Lonchura striata: one gene and its partners. The protein of the gene in region 2 interacts with the protein of the main gene of each other region in a pairwise test. Links are inferred from orthologs where the notes say so. Each region holds a gene or a part of one and is shown on either strand. Other genes may lie near its edges. The genes, in order: ARHGAP26, CDC42EP2 and CASS4.

Region 1 (7,131 bases), on a different chromosome or scaffold from region 2:
ATCATTCCTATTTCTCTCTGTACCTACACTGAGGACAAAAGCAGGGCAGAGCAGCCTTTTCAGCAAAGCCTGGCAGAGACTTTGTTCCATGTCCTTACTCCAGTCTCACCATCCCTGCGTGCCCGTGCTGCTGCTCCTGCCCAGCTCTGCAGAGGGCTTTTCCTCTTCCTCCCTCTTCATCTTCCTCCCCTCCTCCCCAGCCCCACGGCCCCTCAGCAATTGCACAGAGCTACACGTTCTCCCCACGCCTGCCCTCGTGCAAAGAGGATGTGAAATGTTCAGCAGAAAAGGCAAGAGGAAGGAAAACGAGGGAGGATATTGCCAAGACTTCACAGAACTCTGGCTGCAGGCAGTCACGCTGCCCAAGGGCACCCCCAGAACCCCTCATGTGCTGGGGCAGGGGTCTGCTGCCCCCAGGCCTGCCCAGCTCCACAGTCACAACAGCTGAGGAGCAGCACGGAGACAATGGCAGTGAGATAAGGCCACCATGCCCAGCCATGGAGACAAACCAAAACCACATGGAAACACCACTGAAAAATAAAAGCTGGCTAAGAAAAGCAAGCTTCTGGTGAGTCAGGAATGTCCCCCAGAGGTGCACTGGCTCACGGGGGTGACATCCCAGCCCCTGTGACACAACCAGCAACAGGCAGCACAGCAGCTCCCCACCCCTGGAGCATTTCCATCCCTGCTGCTGGACACTGGAATGGTCTGCAGGGACTCATACAGCACATCAGACCTGTCACACACTGAGGGTGACACAGGTGGGACGAGCCAGCCCAGATCCCACCCAGCACCGGATCAGTCAGAGGAAGCACAGCCTGAAGCAGCCCCACAGCCCCTGAGGTCACTCGTACAGCAGGAGAAGGATGCACAGAGGGCCAAGCATCCCAGCCAGGGAGGGGACACCCCTGCCCAGCCTGCCGGGCAGTGCCCTGCCCCACATGGCCCAAACCCTGCCCCAGAGAGCCCTGGGGCCACCCCGGTGCCACACGTGCCGGGGAGGTGGCGGCAGGGCAGGCAGGGCTGGCGCCTGGGCACCGATTTACCCTGCAGCAGAATCAGCGTTATTCCCGTCCCTGCACCACTGAACTCCCCCCAGCCCTGTGCAGGAATTAAGGGCTAATCCAGGAACACATTCAATAGGAGCTCCAAAACAATTCAGCCATAAAAACATCCTTATCTGCAGAGGCCAGCGAGCGTTCTTCCTGCCCAGCGCTGGGCGTGCGGCACGGCCGGGGCACAGCAGCCCTGAGCCCACAGGGGCTCACAGCACACCCCAAAACACCTCACACAGCCTGCCCAGGGCTGGCTGCTCACCTCAGCCAGCACCTGCCACAAGCTAACTGACCAAGCCCACACACACCTGAGGACTCACCAGCTCACTCCCAAAATGTATTTTCCGTGAAGAGCAGCGCTGTAGGATTTGTTCTGGGGTAAAATGAATGCTACAGGCAGGGCCTGGCACTGCTGCCTTCAGCAATTGCTCCACAGCAGGACACAGCTCAGACCTGCAGAGCCATAAATGCACCCACAGCTGTCGGGTTTGAGATTCTTTTGACCCCAAATGCCAAGAACTGGTACAATGGGAGTCCCTGTAACCCAGATGTTACCAGCTGCTACTTCAGCACAGAGGAACTACACCCATGGGGCTCGGTGTGAGAAGGGGAGGGAGCAGGAATCAGCCCTTCTGGGAATGGACAGGGTGGTGGGAATGGATGGAGCATCACCTGCCGTGCACCCTGGGGAGACCTCGCTGTCCCCCAGCCCCCACAGTGACCCTGGCCAGGCTGGTTCACAGCAGGTGATGCTGCAGGGGCTCCATGGCACCTGTTTGTGATGTGCCCCTGTCAGCCCATGGCACAGACTGGTGACCATGTGTGCTGCCAGCATGCTGGGTACAGGCACTCCCCTGGATGGGGAAATGCCCTGTGGTGTGGGCCAAAGAAACTTAAACACAAGAAAACCCCAATGACCCCGTGAGGGAACAGCAGAAACAACATCTCCAAAGCTTGGGGCGCAGCTCACCCAGCACAGCTCCCCAAGATACTGGCAGCAGGTAGCCATGCAGAGGTGTCTCCAGCCCAGCTGTGGGGACAGGAGCCAGCCCAGCCCGGGCATCACGGAACACCGGGACGCTGCCAGCCACAGGTGAGGGTCTCCCCATGCCCGGAGCCACAGCCTGCATGGCTGCATCCCCCTCCCACCCAAACCTCACTGGCTTGCAGCTTTGCAGCCACCCCCGCTTCCCCATGGAGACGGAGAGGAAGAAACTGGAGGGGTCAGCCCGGGCAGAGGCACGGGGGGCTCCGGGCATCGCCCACCCCGAGCGGAGCCGGGACAGAGGACAACCGGAGCGGGGAGCGGGGTGGGCAGGCACCAACCCACCACCCCAGAAAACCGCTGCCAAAGGATGCGACCCCCGAGGCTCACGGACCGGGACCTGGCGGGCGAGGACCAGAACCACCCACATCCCAGTGGACCACGGCCACGCACATCCCGACGGAGCAGGACCGGAACCCCGCACGCCCCGATGGACCCACCCTGACGGGCCACACGTGCCGGGATGGAGCAGGACAAGGCCCGCGCGTGTGCCGGGGGTCCAGAAGCGGGACCGCGCGTGTCCCCGCGGAGCACGGCCAGGCACATCCCGGAGCACATCCCGCCGGAGCCGGAACCGGCACGGCCCCGCGGCCCGGCCACAGCACGGCACACCGGGGGGCCCGGATGGAGCAGCCCCCGTGGCGGGGCGGGCGCGGCTCGGCGGGCGGGGGGCGCGGGGTCCCGCAGGGCCGCCCCCAGCCCCGCACTTACTCTTGAGGGCGGCGACGAGCGACTTCCCGTCCTTGATGAGCTCCTTGATGAACTTGTTGGTCTTGTCCAGCTCGGCCTCGTGCGAGCGCAGCCGCTCCCGGAACTGCGGGCTGTCCAGGCAGCACTCGCTGAACTCCAGCGCCGGCAGCCCCATGCTGCCCGGCACGGCGGGGAAAGCACGCAAAAATCCGGAGGAAACGCAAAACGGAAGGGCTTTTAGGGCGAGGCGCGCAGCTGGGGGTGCGGGCGGGCGGCGGGAGCGCGGTGCCGGGCCGGGCCGGGCCGGGCCGGGCCGAGCCGAGCCGGGAGCGGGGCCGGAGCGCGGCCGGAGCGCGGCCGGGCGGAGCGGCGGGAGCGGAGCCGCGCGGGGGCGGAGCCGCTGCGGCCGCGCTGGGGCCCCGCCCGGGCCGGGCCCGCCCTCGCCACGCCCCCCCGCCACCAGCCAATAGGCGCGCTCCGGCACCGCTTTTCCCCGCCCACTTTTCCCGCTCGGCCAATCAGCTGCGGGGGCGGGGCGGAGCCGTGCCCTGCCCGCCGCTCCCGCACCTGGGCCGGCGCCGCCGCTGCGGAGCCGCCTCCGCCCGGGGCGGGGTCGGCCCTGCCCCGCTCCGGCCCTGCCCCGGCCCTGCCCCGCTCCGGCCCTGCCCCGGTCCTGCCCCGGCCCGGCCCTGCCCCGCTCCTGCCCCGCTGCTGTCCGGCCCGCCCCCGCTGCGGGGAAATCCGCGCCCGGCCTGCGGGAGCACCGCTCCGGCCCGGCCGGGTGGCGGCTCGCACGTTTCTGCTCCCACCATCGCACATCTGTGCTGGAGATTACTGCCCGGGCTTAGTGGTGTGGTCTGAGAGAATGAACCCGTAATCTCCTGATTCCATTCCCTAGCAGGGAAGGGCGGTGGGGCGCTGGCCCAGCGCCGTGTCCCCAAAAGCATCATCCCAGGGACGATGGCTGTCACACTTCCCTCCACATATGATGGCCGTCACCAGTTGTCCCCCCAGACGATGGCTGTCGCCGCGCACACAGCCCCGGTGCTTCTCCCCACAGCCCGCTTCCTTCGGGAGCACGCCGGGGGTTTGGCCCGGGCGCAGCAGCCAAATTCCTGCTCCTTCCTTTCCTCGTCACCTCCTTCCCCCGGCCGGGAGCTCCCGGAGCAAAGCGCAGCCGCACCGAGCAGCCGCTCCTCCGCGGGACACCGGGACACACCGGCAGCACCTGATGCCGGGACACACCGGTGCGGCTGATGCCGGGACACCGGGACACACCGGCAGCACCTGATGCCGGGACACACCGGTGCGGCTGATGCCGGGACACCGGGACACACCGGTGCGGCTGATGCCGGGACACCGGGACACACCGGTGCGCCTGATGCCGGGACACCGGGCTGCACCGGTGCGGCTGATGCCGGGACACCGGGACACACCGGTGCGCCTGCCGCCGGGACGCCGGGACACACCAGCAGCGCCTGCCCCGCCGGCCGGGCATACCCACACAATAAACCCGGCACAAGCACAGCAGCACGGCTCCCACGTCTGGCACTTTTCCCTGTGCTTATTTCTGTTCGCATCCTGCTGTTGTTTCACGGCAGAAGCCCCGGCCCGGCCGGCAGCGAAGCGCCCCGAGCCCCGCGGCGGCCGCAGGGACGGGCCGGCGGTGGCCGCCGTGCCCCGGGCTTGAGCACCGGCCACGCTGGCGGAGATCCCCGAGGGGCCGCGGTTGCCCGGTTTGCCCGCCCAGCCGGCCCGCCGGGGAAGGCACAGCGAACATTCCTGTCAGCTCAGCCGTGAGCGCCGCCGGGGCCCGGGCCAGCGCTCCGGCCGGCCGCGGGAGGATGGAGCGCGGTCCTGCACCCAGCTCCGCCTGCAGCGCGGGCTCCAGCCCCGCCCGGCCTCCGAAACTTCACCCACCGGCGTTCTGCAGAGCGTGGGTGTGGGCACAGGAGCCTGACACCAGCTCGACCTTTTGTCTCTGTTTTTTCAGCCCTCTAAAGCACGATTCTCTCCATCCTCACACCGCAGCCTAATTCAGGCTGAGTCACCGCCTTCAAATATGGTCTGTGAGCCACATTTTTTTGGATGAGGCCTCCTAATTATAAAAAAGGATGTAATACTAATTGCATGCTTATCTTGTAGGCAGGATATAAAGTTTAATGAGCTGTCATTTACGCCATATGCACACAGCCCCATAAAAGCATGAGATGTTATTATTTGGATTATGCTCCCTAATTCTACGCTGCACAAAGCCACAGGAGCACTATTTTGGTTTTATCCTTCTCCATCACCATTGTTCATATTTAAAAGCGTTCCAGCACTTACTGTTAATAGAGAAGAGCCTGTAACTAGATTTATAGGACACTGCCTTAGAGGATGCAAATATCTGGGGCTTGAAATTGATTTTTTTTTCAGCTCTTTTCCAGAATCACAGAAAATGATGATGCCTAGACTGTCATTTTCTGATGAGGACAGAATCAAGGCCTTACAAAGCTCTGCTACACATGAAGCACCACAGGAACTGAGGCCTCAGGCAGGCAGTGAGGAATCTTCTCCCCTTCTCCTGGCTGCATTCATCAGGAGACACTCATGTTTGAGCTCCAATTGGGAGAGCAGAGCAGAGCAGAGCAGCAGGACTGGTGAGGAACAGCCATGGACCTCTCCCAGCCCCATTTCCCTGTGATTGTGCATCCAAGCTGCAAAAGAATATCACAGAATACCCTGAGTTGGAAGGGACCAACAGCGATCATCAAGCCCAGCTCATGGCCCTGCACAGGACACCACAAGAATCCCACCACATTCCTGAGAACGTTTATCACTGAAAGGAAAAATAAGCAAACAAACGGCCCAGACTTCCACATCATCCTGCCTGTGGATGACAACAGTTTGCATCCCTCTGTAATCCCTGCCATATTTGCCTGCTTTGATTTATTGTTTCAAGCAGCTGGGTTGTCTCACCCCCAAGTGAGCCAGGTCAGCTGGACACCGTGTGGGGATCCAGCAGCACTGGACACAAGCCTGGCCACTGAGAGCTCGTCCCACTGGCCACAGCCACCCTCCTGCCAGCCTCTGCAGGGCTGTGCTCACTCATCCTCCCCACAGAGGAAAGCTGTGGCTGCCCTAATCCCTCACTCCCACCCGAGCCGGCCTTGACCACACATTAGCACATTCTCCCTCACCCACCAGCCCACATCCCACAGCTCACTCACTCAGGGAACATCTGCAGAAAACTACTCCAGCATTAAAATACATTTTTAAAAGAGCCGTTTCTACCTAGATTGTGTGACCCTGGATCAATTAACTGCTGGTGCAGGGGTGGGGGCTGTGGAAGGAAGGGAGAGCCGGCCAGAGGGCAGGCTTAGATGGGATACTGGGAGGAAATCCTTCCCTGCGAGGGTGCTGAGGCCCTGGCACAGGGTCTTGGAGCTCCTGGGACTTGGAGCAACCTGGGACAGTGGAAGGTGTCCCACCGAGACCTGGGAGATCTTTGAGGCCCTTTCCAGCCCAAACCAGGGTGGGGTTCTGTGCCTGCACCAGCCCAGCCCCAGCTGCTCTCCCCAGCGTTATCTCTGGGTGGGTCACGCAACCAGCTGGATTCAACCGGTTTGTTTGAAAAACAGCAATTCTTTCCAGAGTGAGCTCTCCGCTGGATCAGCTCCCTCATCTGAGCGCAGCATCCTCCCGCCTCCACCCGGCAGCGCATCCTCGCCGCCGCTGTCGCTGCGTGTGACACAGCCACCGGCACCGCGGCGCAGGGAGCCCCTTCTGCCCCGGGCAGGCTTCCTGCGGCCGGGCTCGGCAGCGGCAAAGCTGCGGCGACAGCAGGAGCGGGAGGGGAGGAGGCAGCCCCGGCCCCGTGCAGCTCCCGGCTCCGCCTGGGCCGCTCGGGGCGATGGAGCCCGCGGAGGGGCTGGCTCCGAGCTGAGCCCCGCAGCCCTGGCTGTCCGGGGGTCCCCCGGCTGCTGCCCCGCTCCAGCAGCGCTCCCACCCGGCCTTCCCCCCTCGCACCGACCCCTGAATATCAGCTGGCACAGAGGTCTGAGGCTGGGAGGGGAGGAATATCAGGAGATGGCAAAGATCTCCAAAAGAGGCTCTTACCCCAATATATGTCAGTTCAGCTCTCTTTATTCTGTGGTGTCCAAGGGGAGAGCGGGGCAAAAGAGAACGAACAGGAATTGTCGGGGGTCTGTACAGACTTTGGGCAGGGTGGGCTTCCCTGGCTCTCCCGTTGGGGCAGGAAGGAGGGTCCAGGGTGATCTGATCAGAGTCACAGGGAATGGGGAAGGGGAAATAGAGTGCCCATGGGCTCACTGTGACACCCACCTGCAAAAACCAGGC
Region 2 (7,258 bases):
GAATTCTGCCCCGTTTTCCCCCCATCCGCCCAGACCCCGTTACCGACCGGCGCTGGCGCCGCTCCCGAGGCCGCGAGGGGAGGGAGGGGAGGGAGGGGAGGGGAGGGGAGGGAGGGGAGAGGGTCCGGGAGGGGAGAGGGTCCGGGAGGGGAGAGGGTCCGGGAGGGGAGAGGGTCCGGGAGGGGAGAGGGTCCGGGAGGGGAGAGGGTCCCGGGCGGTCCCGGGGATCGGGGCCCGGCCCCGGCTCCGTCCGGCGGCTCCGGGCAGGAGAATCCTGACGGTGCAGAAGCGGCGCCGCTAATCCCGGGATTAGTGCGGGACGGGCGGGAGGGGCGGGGACAGGGATGGGACAGGGATGGGGACAGGGACAGGGATGGGACAGGGATTGGGATGGGATAGGGACGGGACAGGGATGGGACAGGGACAGGGATGGGACAGGGACAGGGATGGGACAGGGACGGGACAGGGATGGGGACAGGGACAGGGATGGGACAGGGACAGGGACAGGGACAGGGACAGGGATGGGACAGGGACGGGACAGGGATGGGGACAGGGACAGGGATGGGACAGGGACAGGGACAGGGACAGGGACAGGGACAGGGACAGGGATGGGACAGGGATGGGGATGGGACAGGGATGGGACAGGGATGGGACAGGGACAGGGATGGGACAGGGATGGGGATGGGGACAAAGGGACAGGGATGGGACAGGGATGGGGATGGGGACAAAGGGACAGGGATGGGGACAGGGACAGGGATGGGACAGGGATGGGGATGGGGACAGGGACAGGGATGGGACAGGGATGGGACAGGGATGGGACAGGGACAGGGATGGGGATGGGGACAGGGACAGGGACAAGATTGGGGACAGGGACAGGGACGGGGACAGGGAATCTTCCTCTGGAATCACATCCACACCGGTGCCGCGGGGAAGCACCGCGGCCATTGGAAAAAGGGGAACGTAGGGCAAAAAGTAGGATTGAAGTGGAGAAAAAAAAGTGAAATTGTAGGGAAAAGAACTGGGCTGTAGGGAAAAAAAAATGGAATTCTAGGAGGGAAAATGGGTTTGTGGGGGAAAGAAGTGGATCTGTAGGGAATAAGGTGGATCTGGAGGGAAAGAAGGCTGTGAAATGTGGATCCCCAGGTGTGGCTGGGGCTGACGGGGATGCCTGTCCCGGTGCTCCGGGATTTTTGCCTCCTGGAAATCTCCGGCAGCCCGAACAAGGCCCCGGTCCCTCCCCTGGGCCGCTCCCGCGCGGCTGCGCCGGGACAAAGCCCCGGAACGTTCCGGGAGCTCCGGGAGCTCCGTTCCCTTTGCGCTGCCAGAGGGAAACCCCTGCAACGGGCGACTCCAGCCCCAAAATCCCCTCCTCTGGAATTCTGTAGGACTTTATTTTTTTTTTTTCCTCCCCCAGGCAAATCCTGTAGGGAGATCCGGAACAGGTGAAAAATGGGCTGGAAAAGGAGGAAAACCGTGAAGAAAGCTCCAAAAAAACCCCCAATTTCTGGGAGTTTCCACCCCTGAAATCCCAGGAGAACCCAGGACACCCCAGAAGGAAGAGTCAGGAACGAGGAAAACAGGGAAAAAGAGCAAAAAACAGGGGAAAAAAGGGATGTTTTCCCCAGGATCTGAGTGGGAGGAGCTCCAGGAGGTGTTTCCAGGACTCCGACCCTTGGAATCGCCTGAATCAGCAGATTCGATTCCCACGGAGGAAAATTTGAGGAATTTTCCCCTGTTTCCATCAATTCCGGCTCCAATGGAGGATATCCTGTTCCTTTTCCACCCGTTTTTGGTGATTTAGGGTTTGGATTGGGAGGAATTTGGGCTCTTTCTCTGAAATTACAGGAAAATTTTGGTCCTTTTTCAGCACTTTGGGCTTCAGCCCATCCAGGTTTTTCACTTTCCACCTGTTCTTGGAAATTCAGGCTTCAGCTCAGGAAACATTTGGGATTTTTTTTGCCTCTTGCCACAAATTTACCTCTCACAACCTGGACATTCCGTTCCTTTTCCACCTGGTTTTGGAAATTTCTACCTCAATGTGAAATTTTCTGCCCATTTTCAGCCCCTTGAGCTTCAGGACCTCAACATTTTTACATTTCCCACCGTTTTTCCAGAAAAATTCCTCACTTCCTGCCCATTTCCAGCATTTTGGGCCCTGCCACACAGAAATTTGGGGGGTTTTAGCCAATTTTCAGGCATTTTGGCACTGTCTGAGCAGCTCTTCCCCACTCCGGTGTCCCCACGAGAAATCCCATCCACATTTTTCCCCAAGCGGGGATTCGGGGATGGAATGAAATTCCTTTTCCCATGGGAATGGCCCGAGGGAGGAGCAGCCTCCAAGATCTCCTGGGGTTCCTCCCATTCCTCCCCTCCTGACCCGTTCCAGCCTTTTTTTGGTGCCCGATTTTAAATCCCCGCCTCCGGATTCGCCCCGGGGTCGTGCCGCGGGCTGGATTTTCCCGAAAAAGGATGGAAATGCCCCATTGCCCTGCGGTCCCGAGCGGCCCAGAGGAAGAAGAGCCCTTTGGGATGAAGGTCCTGGGGTTTTTTGGGGAACGGGGATTTTGGGAGCGGCGCCAGGACCCGTCCGTGGGATCCGGCCCCGCGCTGGCCACGGGAAAAGCTGGAATTGGTTAAAATCGGTTAAATCCGGGAAAGAATTCCCTGATCCCGCCCCACCTCGGGGATCCAGCGGAGGGTCCGGCGCGGGGGCAGCGCGGCGCTGACAATTCCATGGGGACTGCGGGACCTGCCGGGTCCTCCCTTTTCCCAGGAAAACCCTCGGGACAATCCCAGGAAAAGCCGGACGATGAGGAAGGAAGGAAGAAGTCTCGGCCTCGGCCACACCCCGGTGTCCGCGGTGCCAAAAAATCCAGGGAAAAAACCAAAATCCAGGGAAAGCAGCGGCGGCTGCGTCGGGCGGCTCCTCCCGGGCCGGGATTCCCGGGAAGTGGCGCTGGGAGCGGCCGCGGCTGGGAAAGGGATCGGAGCCTGCCCGGGACACTCCGGAGCGGCGCCTCGGGAATCCGGGGCTCGGAAATCCAGAGGTTCGGGAATCCGGGGGCTCGGGAATCCGGGGGTTTGGGAATCCGGGGGTTCGGGAATCCGGGGGCTCGGAAATCCGGGGATTCTCCTGCTCGCAGGAAAAAACGCCCGGAAAGCGCCGGGCAGGGATCCAGGAGCTGTTCCGGGGATCCAGGAGCTATTCCATGGATCCAGGAGCTATTCCAGGGATCCAGGAGCTGTTCCGGGGATCCAGGAGCTGTTCCGGGGATCCAGGAGCTGTTCCAGGGATCCAGGGGCTGTTCCAGTGGCTATTCCATGGATCCAGGAGCTGTTCCGGGAGCTATTCCAGGGATCCAGGAGCTATTCCATGGATCCAGGGGCTGTTCCGGGGATCCAGGGGCCGTTCCGGGGCCGTTCCAGGGATCCAGGAGCTGTTCCGGGAGCTATTCCATGGATCCAGGGGCTGTTCCGGGGATCCAGGAGCTGTTCCAGGGATCCAGGGGCTGTTCCAGTGGCTATTCTATGGATCCAGGGGCTGTTCCATGGATCCAGGAGCTATTCCATGGATCCAGGGGCTGTTCCAGGGATCCAGGGGCTGTTCCGCGGCCGTTCCGCTGCTCTAAGCCGGGAGCAGGCGGAGCCGGGGAGCTCCAATTAAGCGCTGGTTTAATTAAGCCGGGAAGCGGGGAGGAGGTGGGGGAGGGATCCGCTCCTTTTTCCTGATCCAAGGAAGGAATCGCCGCTTTCCCTTTAAATCCGGGACGCGACAGCGCCGCGGACGCGGCCGGGGGCAGGAGGGGCTGCGCCCGCGCTCCCCTCCCCTCCCCTCCCCTCCCTTCCCTCCCTTCCCTTCCCTCCCCTCCCCTCCCCTCCCTTCCCTCCCTTCCCTTCCCTTCCCTCCCCTCCCCTCCCCTCCCCTTCCCTCCCTTCCCTCCCCTCCCCTTCCCTTCCCTTCCCTTCCCTTCCCTTCCCTTCCCTTCCCTTCCCTTCCCTTCCCTTCCCTTCCCTTCCCTTCCCTTCCCTTCCCTTCCCTTCCCTTTTCCCGAATTCCCGGCGGTGTCACCTGCGGACCTCGGGATTGGGATCGGGGCCGGGATTTGGGGTCAGGATTCGGGATTTGGGGTCAGGATTCGGGATCGGGATTTGGGATCAGGATTCGGGATTTGGGATCAGGATTCGGGATTGGGATTTGGGATCAGGATTTGGGATCGGGGCTGGGATTTGGGATCGGGGCTGGGATTTGGGATCAGGATTCGGGATCGGGATTTGGGATCAGGATTCGGGATTTGGGATCGGGGCCGGGATTTGGGATCAGGATTCGGGATCGGGGCCGGGATTTGGGATCAGGATTTGGGATCGGGGCCGGATTTGGGATCAGGATTCAGGATCGGGGCCGGATTTGGGATCAGGATTTGGGATCAGGATTTGGGATCAGGATTTGGGATCGGGGCCGGGATTTGGGATCAGGATTTGGGATCAGGATTTGGGATCGGGGCCGGGATTTGGGATCAGGATTCGGGATCGGGGCTGGGATTTGGGATCAGGATTCGGGATCGGTCCCGGCGCAGCCGCTCCCGAGCGGATCCCAGGCCCCCATCCCGGCCTCAATTCCCTTCCCGGGAATTCCCGGAGCTCCCTCGGCCTCTCCTCTGGGAAGGAGCCCCGAAAATAAATCTGGAAAAACCCCAGCGGGACCGGCTCCCTCCCAAAACCCTCGGAATTCCCGAATTAAATCCCGAATTAGGGATGGATCGTACGGTGGGGGCTCTGTGGGGGGGAAGAGTCGAAATTCCCCAAATCCCCCCAGGACCCGGCTCTGGCTCTTCCTGCTGCTGTTTTAACCAAAATCGGAGTTTTTCCAAGGGAAACCGAGGCGGGGGGAGGAGAACCCAAGGGGAAACCTGGGAGGGAATGGGATTCTGCTCCCCTCCCCTCAGGTGCAAAAAAACCCGAAAATAAAGCTGGAAATGAGAGGAAAGTAAGATTTTATGGATGTTGGAAAAACTGTATTTGATTTGGGGTGAGAAGTGCTGGAATTGGGCAAAGAGCAGAGGAGGAACCGGGAGGTGACCTTGGCACTTCCCAACTGCTCCATGCAGATATTTAGGGAGAAAAAGGAGATTTTTGGGAAAATTCCGGCCACACGGCAGAGTTGTGAGTTTCCCTTCCCAGCCGCAATTTTCTCTGGTTTTCCCCCAAAATCCACCCCTTGGATTTATCTTTTCCCATAGGAAATGACACCGGGACAGGCAGAAACTTTAATTAATTTTCACCTTCATCATCATCATCATCATCATCAATTTGGGGCAAAAATTTTGGGAAAAGGGTCAAAGCCAGACCCGCAGCTGTTTTTTCCTGGGAAGCAGCAGGAAGCAGCGCCAGGATTCCACAATTAATTGGTTCTGGACTAATTAAACTCCAAGTTCCCTAATGAGGTCACCGAAGGCAAAGGGTGATGCCAGGACAGGGAGGATCCCACGCCCGGATTCCGCTTCCCAAATTCTGTTTTACTGGAGGTGAATCCTGAATCCTCCTGGGGAAATCCTCCACATGCCAAACGGTTCTGGGGCTTTTAAACTGGAATTCCAGCAGTTTTAATTGTAATTCCAGGAGTTTTAACCAGAATTCCCAGAGTTTTAACCAGAATTCCAGGAGTTTTAACCAGAATTCCCAGAGTTTTAACCAGAATTCCAGGAGTTTTAACCCCAATTCCTGCCCCTGCAGCCCTGGGTGGGAACGGGCAGAGCTGGGAGCTCAAATCCTCACGACCTGGGCGGCCACGCAGGGGCTGCTCCGGGGGGCGTCCCTGGGAATGTCCCTGGGAATGTCCCTGGGAATGTCCCTGGGAATGTCCCTGGGAATGTCCCTGGGAATGTCCCTGGGAATGTCCCCGGCATTCTCTGCAGGATTGTCCCCGGTTCTGTCCCCATCCCTGTCCCCGGTTTTGTCCCCATTTCTGTCCCTGGTTTTGTCCCCATCCCCGTCCATGTTTCTGTCCCCGTCGCTGTCCCCAGTTCTGTCCCCGGTTTTGTCCCCAGTTCTGTCCCGTGTTCTGTCCCTGTCGCTGTCCCCAGTTTTGTCCCCATTTCTGTCCCTGGTTTTGTCCCTGTTTCTGTCCCCATCCCTGTCCCCGTCCCTGTCCCCATTGTTGTCCCCAGTTCTGTCCCATGTTCTGTCCCCGTCGCTGTCCCCGGTTTTGTCCCCGTTGTCCCCATCCCTGTCCCCATCCCTGTCCCCGGTTTTGTCCCCATCCCTGTCCCCGTCCCTGTCCCCGTCGCTGTCCCCGTTGTCCCCAGTTCTGTCCCCATTTCTGTCCCCGGTTTTGTCCCTATTTCTGTCCCCGTTGTTGTCCCCATCCCTGTCCCCATCCCTGTCCCCGTCGCTGTCCCCCGGCCGCTCTCTCCGCAGCAGCAGCCGCCCGTAGGTGCCCCCAGCCTGGCCCTTGGTCAAGCGCCCGGGGTTGATGCAGACACAGCCCAGGACGTCCTGCGGGGGACACGGACACGGATGGGGACATGGACACGGACGGGGACACGGACAGGGACAGAGGACAGGGACAGAGGACAGGGACAAGGACATGGGACAGGGATGGGGACAGGGATAAGGGACAAGGATTGGGACACGGACAAGGATGGGGGAACAGGACAGGGAACAGGGACGGGGATGGGGACAGGGACAGGAGACAGGACAAGGGACAAGATTGGGGACACAGACAGGGGATGGGGACAGGGACAGGGACAGGCACAGGGACAGGGACAGATTCCTGACCTTGACGAAGAAGCGCAGCTCGGACGGCGTCACCAGGACGTCGGGGGTCACCGGCAGCGCCGCGAACGCCGCCAGCGCCTCGAAGTCCACGTTGAGCTCCTCGGAGGGCGGGTACAGGGGGTAGAAACTGCAGGGGGGGTTTCGGGGAGAAAAAAGGGGGTTTTGGGGAGGACAGAGGAGTTTTTGGGAAGGCAGAGGGGGTTTTTGGGGAGGAAAGAGGGTTTTTGGGAGGTCCTCACCTGCGCTGGGTCAGGATGTGCCGCAGGATCCGCGTGAAGCGGTCGGAGACGCCGGAGGAGCTGTGGGAGAAAGGGGAGGGAAATGGGTGAGAAAAGGGAGGAAACAGGAAAAAAAGGATGGGGAAAAAGGGGAAAATGGGAAAGGAAAATGGGGAAAGAGGAGATTGGGGGGGGAAGGGAAGAGAGAAAAGGCAGAGGAGAAAAGGGGAAAAAAGGGGAAAAAAGGGGAAAAAATGGGGAAAATG
Region 3 (7,950 bases), on a different chromosome or scaffold from region 2:
TAAAGAAGGAATTGTATTTATTTTCTGTATAACAAAGGAGAAATGGTCAAATATTGGAGGCTGGGGCTTGGGGACTTTGGAATGATGCAGTTGATGTGTTCCACCTGAATCAGGTACAATTACATACTCAAAATGTAGAATGTGGGAGATTTTTATTTAAATAATGAAATTCATTTTTCTCTTGAAAAGCTCCCTTTATGCAAAACATTTCTGAGGCTTAATCCTCATTGCTCCTCCTCTGCCTCTGAGTTTGTGACCCTTCAGAAGCAGTGGTGCTGAGGGATACTGGTGCTGGTGGCCTTTTTGGTGGAGAAACCAGGAGGAGCAGAGCTGGGGGCAGGGAAAAGGGAAGTCCTGACACAGTCACTGAGGCGTGATGTGCGATGGGTGACAGCCGTGGCTTTTTTATTTTTGGAGTGCCACCTTTTTTTTTTTAATTCTGCTGAAGCACCTGTCTGTAATTCATGCACTCGTTGGTGTTTGGAATCTGCTTTTAAACCCTCTGTTTGTGGTTGATGTGTTAAAGCACCGCTGTGGTTGTGAACAGTGGGAGCTCTCACCTCAAGCTTCTGCAGTTCTGGGGGCTTGAACTCAGAGTGCAAGAGCAAAAAGTTCCTTTTTTAACACAAAACCATCCTGCCATTGGCACCCTGCTGCCTTTCCATGTTCTGGACATCCTGAGGCCACGAGGTTGGTGGACTTCTGTTGGAAAAAGAAGGGCTGAGAAAAACTGACCTCATCCTAGTGAGGGAGAAAATGCAAAACACAGTGTGCAAAGCCAGGTTGGATGGGCTTGGAACAACCTGCTCTGCTGGAAGGTGTCCCTGCCCATGGAGTGAGGTGCTCCTTAAGCCCCTTCCAAGCCAAACCATTCCCTGGCTCTGGAAACACTTTTCCCTGGAGGTGCTTTGAATTCCTGGCTCCTGCTGCTGCTGTGAGAGCCGGGACCGCCTGGAAAGCCGGGAGAGGCTGGCAGTGCCATCCTGCAGTGCTGGCACTGGGGCAGGGCTCTCTTATCGAGCCTCGGCAGCTCCTCGCTGTGCCCCAGCCCTGCTCTCACTGCTGCAAAAGAGGAAACAGGAGCACGGGCAGAGGGCTCCGCTTCCCACTGCTCAACTGCGACAACTTGGTGCAGGAAGACCAAGGAAAATCCCACTTGACGCTTCATTTTCTCACTGGAGTGGCCAAAAGGGCTTTTTTTGGGGGGGTTTATTCTGCCCTCCTTTTGTGTCCTGTTGTCTCAGATGGTATCTTACACCAGGATGTCTCCAGGTTGCAAGGGCTGCTAGGGGCAGAGCTGTCAGATGGACTTGGCTGAGGGGAGTTCCCCACGCGCGGCGCCTGGGCAGGGCTGAAGCGTCCCCATCCCACCGTGGCTCTGCTGCTCCAAGTGCAGGATGACAACAATGGATGCAAGCCCAAGGAGCAACACAGCTGCAAAGGTAGGGCTGAATTTGGGGTAGGGAAGGGTTCGGTGGTTGAATTCAGTGGGATTCTTGGTGATGTTGGAAGTAGCAGTGATGAGACCCATCCGGGTCTTGTCCTTCATGGCTGGAGTGTGTCCAGGGCAGGGGATGGAGCTGGGAAGGGGATGGAGAATCCCTGAGGGAGCTGGGAAGGGAATGGAGAATCCCTGAGGGAGCTGGGAAGGGAATGGAGAATTCCTGAGGGAGCTGGGAAGGGAATGGAGAATTCCTGAGGGAGCTGGGAAGGGAATGGAGAATCCCTGAGGGAGCCGGGAAGGGAATGGAGAATCCCTGAGGGAGCTGAGGAGGCTCAGCCTGGAGCAAAGGAGCTCAGGGGGACCTTGTGGCTCTGCACAGCTCCTGCCAGGAGGGGACAGCCGGGGGGATTTGGGATCATCCCAGGGAACAGGGACAGGAGCAGAGGGAATGGCTCAGGCTGGGCTAGGGGAGCTCAGGGTGGGACCAGCAGGAATTTCCCCATGGAAAGGGGGTCAGGAATTGGAGCTGCCCAGGGAGGTTTGGATCCCCATCCCTGGGGGTGCCCAAGGAGGTGCCACTCAGAGCTCTGGGCTGGGGACAAGGTGGGCATCAGGCACAGCTTGGACTTGGTGGTCTCAGAGGTCTCTGCCAACCTCAGTGCTCCTGTGGTTCTGGGAAGTTTGGGTTCCTCACCTCGGGGGGACAGAAGGCTCCTGTGCCTGATGTCCCCCTGTGCTTCTCATGATGACAACACCAGTGACTGGGAGGGATAGCAAGGATCCTGGATAAAGCAGAGTGAAAACAACAACAACAAAAAATACCTGGAAGTAAGCACGTTTGTGAAATTATAAATATAGAATTCAGGGTTCCACCTTACTGCTGTGCTGCAGTGACATTAGAGACACAGATCCTTTCTTTGCCAGAGACTTTCAGTGACAGCCCTGGTGCCCTCTTGCATGACATGATTTCTTTATGTTACATGCAAACCAGAAAACATTTTGAAACACTCTGTGTTCCTATTTTGAAAGACTGGACCCAGTGTATAAGGTTTGTTACATTTATTTCTGTATCCACATTCAATCGAGATTAATTTTCTATAGGTTAGAGGCCCTGCTGCAGCTGTGAGGGTTGGAGAATGCTGAAATCTTGATTCAAAGTCAATGCCTTGCTGTCCTGCTCTCTGCAAGCCTAATAAGTGTACTGGAATTAGGGTTTTCATCGTGGATTATGATCTCAGTGTTTACTGTACATAAACTGCCTCCTGGAAATTTCATAGAAAATGTAGTGGGAAGGAAAAGCTCAGTGAGTCATTTTTTTACACTCCAAATTTTCCATCAATGCTTGTAAAGATTAGGGGGCTACTTTTCACATTGAGTCATAGTAACTGAGGCAGGACATTTGTCATCTCTATACTGAAGAATTTCCTATTTCTACATATATTTCCAGTTCTCTTGAGCGGATTGTCAATAAATCAATGTAATGGTAGCAAACAGATTACCTGTTCTGCTGTGAGCATTTTAGACATGTCAGAGCCCACCCAATCCACTTCAGCTGAGTAATAAAACCCAAAATTATTTCTGCAACATCACTTATGAATTGTCCATAAGTCCCCTACCACCTTGGCAGTACAGTTTATGATGATACTTGAATGATATAAAAATACAAAGGGGTTTTTTTTCTGCTCTCTGAACTCCTCGAAGCACCAACCCTCAGCAGCATTGCTGTGGCAGGAAATGCTCTGCAATTATCCCTGTGCCCAACTATTGCACCTGCACGGGGAAAACCCCTCTGAAAACCATCTCAGGCTGAGCTCAGCCAGGTTGATGCTTGTTTATTGATGTTTTTGTTGATGTTTTTTGTTGATGTTTGTTTGTTGAAAACCATTTCAGGCTGAGCTCAGCCAGGTTGATGCTTGTTTATTGATGTTTTTGTTGATGTTTTTTGTTGATGTTTGTTGAAAACCATTTCAAGCTGAGCCCAGCCAAGTTGATGTTTGTTTGTTGTTGCGTATCCAGGGGTGCCACAGGAAGCCTTGCAGCCCTTGCTGCAATTTCAAACCCCTCCACGACAGCTTCGGCTGAGCTGAAACACAGATGAAAAATTAAACTCACAATTCTAATTCTAAAGATTTGCAGGGAATAGGTATGTTTATTTACAGTGCTGTGGACGCATGTCGGGGCTCTTTGCCCTTTAATGGACATGGGTACCTCTGAGAACTCTTGATCTTTTTTTATTACCCTTACTAATTTCTATATGCATAGAATTTCATAATAGGTTAATGCATATTTATTTTGCTGATATTAGGAAAAAATCCTTCCTTGTGAGGGTGGGCAGCCCTGGCACAGGTGCCCAGAGCAGCTGGGGCTGTTCTGGATCCCTGGCAGTGCCCAGGGCCAGGCTGGAACACCCTGGGACAGTGGGAGGTGTCCCTGCCATGGCAGGGATTCCCTCGGGGCTCATTCATGGGAACATTTAATTGTATTTGAAAGTAGTTCTGTGGCCACAAGCTGTGGGTTTGTAGCTGAGGTTACTCCAAATGCTGGAGCACCTGAAAAACTCCGGGGTAGCAAATGAATGGCTCCTGATCACCTGCATGAAGTGTCTGAAGGGGTCAAACTACTGCTCCTGATACTTAAAAAATAAAAAAGGAAGGAGAGAAAAACCACAAAGGCATTGAAATGGGCTCCTCTGTGCCAGAAATTCTTTCTCCTCTGGACAGCAGCTGGTTTGCTCCCAGCCCAGAGGTGTAGATTTTGTTGATGAAGCTTTTCAATTCAGCATTTTCTATTCAAGAGATTAAAGTATTTTCTAACTACAGGATTGTGGCTTTGGGAGCCAGAGTCTAATTTAATCTTGAAGCTACTGTGGAAAGAGGAAGGAAGAGGCTTTTACCAGAGAAAAACCAGCGTGTACAAAGGCAAAACCAGTAAAAATTTGCCAACAAAAAGATATCCTGAGTCCAAAGTGGCAAAACCTGTGCATCAGCATGACCTGGACTCAGCTGTTGCCAAGCAAATAACAGCCGTTAATAACTTAAAATAACATTATACCTTAATAATATTCAAGGATTTTTTAAATAATCCAAGAAACAAAACCCTTCAGCTGCAGTTCACGTTTAACTTTCCTCCTTGCGTTTTCTGCCTCTGCAGGGTGAGGTTGTTTTGCAGGGGATTTAAAACCACAAAGGGGATCTGTTCAGTTTTCCAGAGACAGATTAAAAATGTAGCAAACCTCACACCACTTTGAAGTTGAAAAGAAATTTTTAAAAACAACAACAACCAAAACAAACAAACAAATCCTCACACACAACAAACCAGGAGTAAAAAATGCTGCTGCAAAAATGCTTCCAAATCCAATCCCTTTCATGGTGCAGCCCTGCTGCCCTGGGTTTTCTGTTCAGAGCAGGGCAGGCATTCCCTGCAGGGGACTCTGTGTGTGCTGCACATCACCAGCTGCAGCCCCGTGGCTCCCTGGAGAGAATTCTGCCACGTAATGAGCTCCCCCCGTTCCCAGAGCTGCTTTCCTGGGGCTCCCAGCGAGCAGGAGGTGGCAGGGGCTGAGCTTTCCCTCTGCAGGCTTCCAGCCAGAGCCTCCAGAGCTGCCTGAGCCACTGACAGGGCTGGGGACATCCTCCTCCTCCTCCTCCTCCCCAGGTGATGGACTAACAGGGAAACACAGCAAAATGAAGGTCAGTGTAAGTCCTGGGTTCTTTTCTTTTTGATTTAATGACTTTCCTGATTTCATTTGTAGTAGGTAGAGGGTAAAAAATCTGCATCTGGCAGGGTCTCTTTGCAATGTGTGTGTGTTCAGCTGATTTGCACATCACTAAGAGAGCACGCGGTCTTAATTTAAAAAATATAATCCAAATTAACCCTTTCTCAAGAACAGCAGTGTGGCTGAGGAGGGTGAGGGTTCGTTCTGTGTGCATTGAGTAACAACAAGTTTATTAAAAATGATCATGAGTGACTCAGACTGGTCACTTCCACATTCTCTTGGAAAAAAAAACGAGGTTAAGAGTTGAGCGGTGTATTACCTCAAAAGAGATGATGCTTTTGCATTGATTCCTAGAAAATGGGTCATGGAAATGTCTGGAGAAGTGAGGTCAGTGTGGGGTGAGGAAAATGCCGAGCGATTTCAGTCTGAGCCTGGGAAAGCCTTTGCACTGGAGGGCACGGACTGGCCACATCCTGCAGAGCTGCCTGCATCACAAGGGCTCAGAGGAGGACAGCAGTGCTCATTTTTAGGAAACGCTCTTTTCTCCTGGATTGGGGGGGATTGAGTGATGGATCAAACCCATTTTGCAGCCGTTTGTCCCCATTTCTGCGCCAGCCCCGGGCTGGGCTTTGTGCTGAGCAGGGTTTGGGCTGTGCCAAGGGACAGATCAGGGCAGGGCTGTGCTGTCACCGCGTGTCCTGGGCTGATGGCAGGCACGGAGCAGAGCCCAGCTGCTGCCTGGGCACTCGCAGCAGGGATGAGCCCAGCTGGAAACCCACAGAAACACCACGACTGCAGTGCTGCTCACTCAGAAACCATCCATCCCTCGTTTATTCAATGCGTTTCGTTCATTTGCTCCCAAGCACCGCCTGTGCGGAGGGCAGCGTGAGGACAAGGTTTTGGGGGATGAGCAGGGCAGCCACAGAGCCCCAGCAAGCTGCAGCTGGGGGAGTCGTGCTGCTGCTGATTCTTGGTGGATCAGAAACCCCCAGCCTGGCCTCAGCCTCGCCACTGCTGCCACGGAATTCCTGAAAATTTCCATTTTTCAATGAAAAATGTGCCATTTGCTCCCCCAGAGCTTCCCTGGGGATGTTTTCCCTCATTCACAGAGGGTGAGGATCCTGCTCTGAGGAGTGCCCAGCTTGTACTCACCAGGACTTCCTCGAGCTGTAAAGCCACATTTAGAAATAAATGTAGTCAGGTGTAATTAAACCACAAAAAGTTTTTAAAAAGTAAAAAAAAAACCCTAAAGTGATTGGGTGCATGTGGGAAAAAGAAAGGTTTGAGGACCCAAAGCCCAGGAATGCTCCCACAGGGAGTGTTGGGAGCAGCAGGAAGTGGCAGTTGATTTTCCCTTGAACTTGGGCATGAGAGCACTCCCCTAAAAATGCTCCGAGTGGGGTGAAATCCTGGCTGCACTTCCCCTTCTGGTGATTTTAACAGAGCTAAGATTTGACTGGCTTCATCTGTGGAGAAAAGAGAGTTTGGGGAAAATTAACAGAACTCCAGTTTGTAATTCCCACCTCTGCAGCACTGCCCGGTGTGAAGCTGCAGGATTTGTAAGCCTGATTTTTTTTTAAGTGTATTTTTTCCCTGTATTTCCTCAGATTTAGAATTCAAAACCTGCTGATCAGCACCTGCTTCCATCCCCACAAAATCAATTAAAGCAATAAAAGCATGTCCTGATGTTCATTCCTCCTTGAAGCTCACACAAAACTTCTGTATGAGCTGAACATTTCTTTTCCAAAATAGGCAAACAGCACAAAAAAAATGCAGAAGGTCCTTCTGCAGGTCACAGGAAATGCTGCACACGCAGGTGGAGAATGATCTGAGCTTTTAAGGTAAATTCTCTTTTCCTGTGGATGTTGGTGTGAACTCTCCACAATTAGCTGAGCAAAATGTAAGTGACTCGCCTGGTCTGGGGTTTAAAGGGGAATTCTCAGGGAAGCCTGTTCCCAGCTAATGGATGATGGAGAATGTTTATTTCTGCAGCTTTGTTGGGAGATTAACTGGGAGCTGCTCTGTAAACATGTCAGAGGTGTCTCTGATGTATGAGCAGAAATGTTTAGCAAACACAACCCTGTATCTCTTCCCCCTCAAATATTTTAAGTCCCACTTTCCTGCAGTAAAAGAGCTCACTCATATATCGATGTGCAACGTGAGAATTATTTCTCTCAATCCACAAAAACTCCCAGGATTAAATGCTCTCTTTACTTACATGATCTCAATAGGGGTTTTTAAGAAGCAAATTGAAGATAATAAATGCAAAATTACTTTTTTATCTGAAATGCTGTGAAATAGTGCAGTGCTCATGAAATAATACAGGGCAGCAAATTGAGATTTTTCAAATACAAACTGAGTGGGGCAGGGACATTATTTTGTGAGGCTTGTGGGCAAGATGCTCAAATTATCACGAGCTGTACACCACTGTGTGCACTTGGATTTTTCTAGCAATGTTTGTATCTATTTTATAATGATATTTTTTTTCTGTTGCATTATCCTAGATACTGAAGATAAGACTTGAGACAGGAGAGGCATCAGGAGATTTTTAGTAACAGTGGGATGTTTCTTCCTTAGCATAAATATCTATTGTGTGCACAGAGCACAGATGTCACTCTGAGGGTATAAAATTTTACGTTATAGAACTGGGCATTGATCAGCTTTACTGCCCCTAATTACAATTACTCCATTAATAAACATGAGGTAGCAGCTTTCATTCCTATGACTCCCAAGGGCTGCCAAGGCTTTGTAGAGGGACCAAGGCTGGATTAGGATCTGCAAACAACAAAGA

Evidence for each region.
Region 1: the proteins of CDC42EP2 (region 2) and ARHGAP26 interact in binary tests that used the Homo sapiens proteins (3 or more experiments, as listed by UniProt). The two-hybrid records come from large-scale screens. The link is inferred for Lonchura striata from reciprocal best matches to the Homo sapiens genes CDC42EP2 and ARHGAP26.
Region 3: the proteins of CDC42EP2 (region 2) and CASS4 interact in binary tests that used the Homo sapiens proteins (3 or more experiments, as listed by UniProt). The link is inferred for Lonchura striata from reciprocal best matches to the Homo sapiens genes CDC42EP2 and CASS4.

What each region holds. Positions count from the first base shown.
Region 1 is NC_134617.1:1,008,030-1,015,160, forward strand, and holds the start of ARHGAP26 (rho GTPase-activating protein 26), read right to left. Parts: upstream 3,098-7,131; 5' UTR 2,966-3,097; coding exon 2,812-2,965; intron 1-2,811. UniProt on the Homo sapiens protein: GTPase-activating protein for RHOA and CDC42. Facilitates mitochondrial quality control by promoting Parkin-mediated recruitment of autophagosomes to damaged mitochondria.
Region 2 is NC_134638.1:217,635-224,892, reverse strand, and holds the start of CDC42EP2 (cdc42 effector protein 2), read right to left. Parts: upstream 3,039-7,258; 5' UTR 2,680-3,038; intron 17-2,679; exon of another isoform or gene 1-16. Other genes in the region: POLA2 (DNA polymerase alpha subunit B), read right to left, coding at 5,303-5,361, 6,285-6,492, 6,775-6,901, 7,014-7,073. UniProt on the Homo sapiens protein: Probably involved in the organization of the actin cytoskeleton. May act downstream of CDC42 to induce actin filament assembly leading to cell shape changes. Induces pseudopodia formation in fibroblasts in a CDC42-dependent manner.
Region 3 is NC_134619.1:2,550,752-2,558,701, forward strand, and holds the start of CASS4 (cas scaffolding protein family member 4), read left to right. Parts: upstream 1-4,882; 5' UTR 4,883-5,127; coding exon 5,128-5,133; intron 5,134-7,950. UniProt on the Homo sapiens protein: Docking protein that plays a role in tyrosine kinase-based signaling related to cell adhesion and cell spreading. Regulates PTK2/FAK1 activity, focal adhesion integrity, and cell spreading.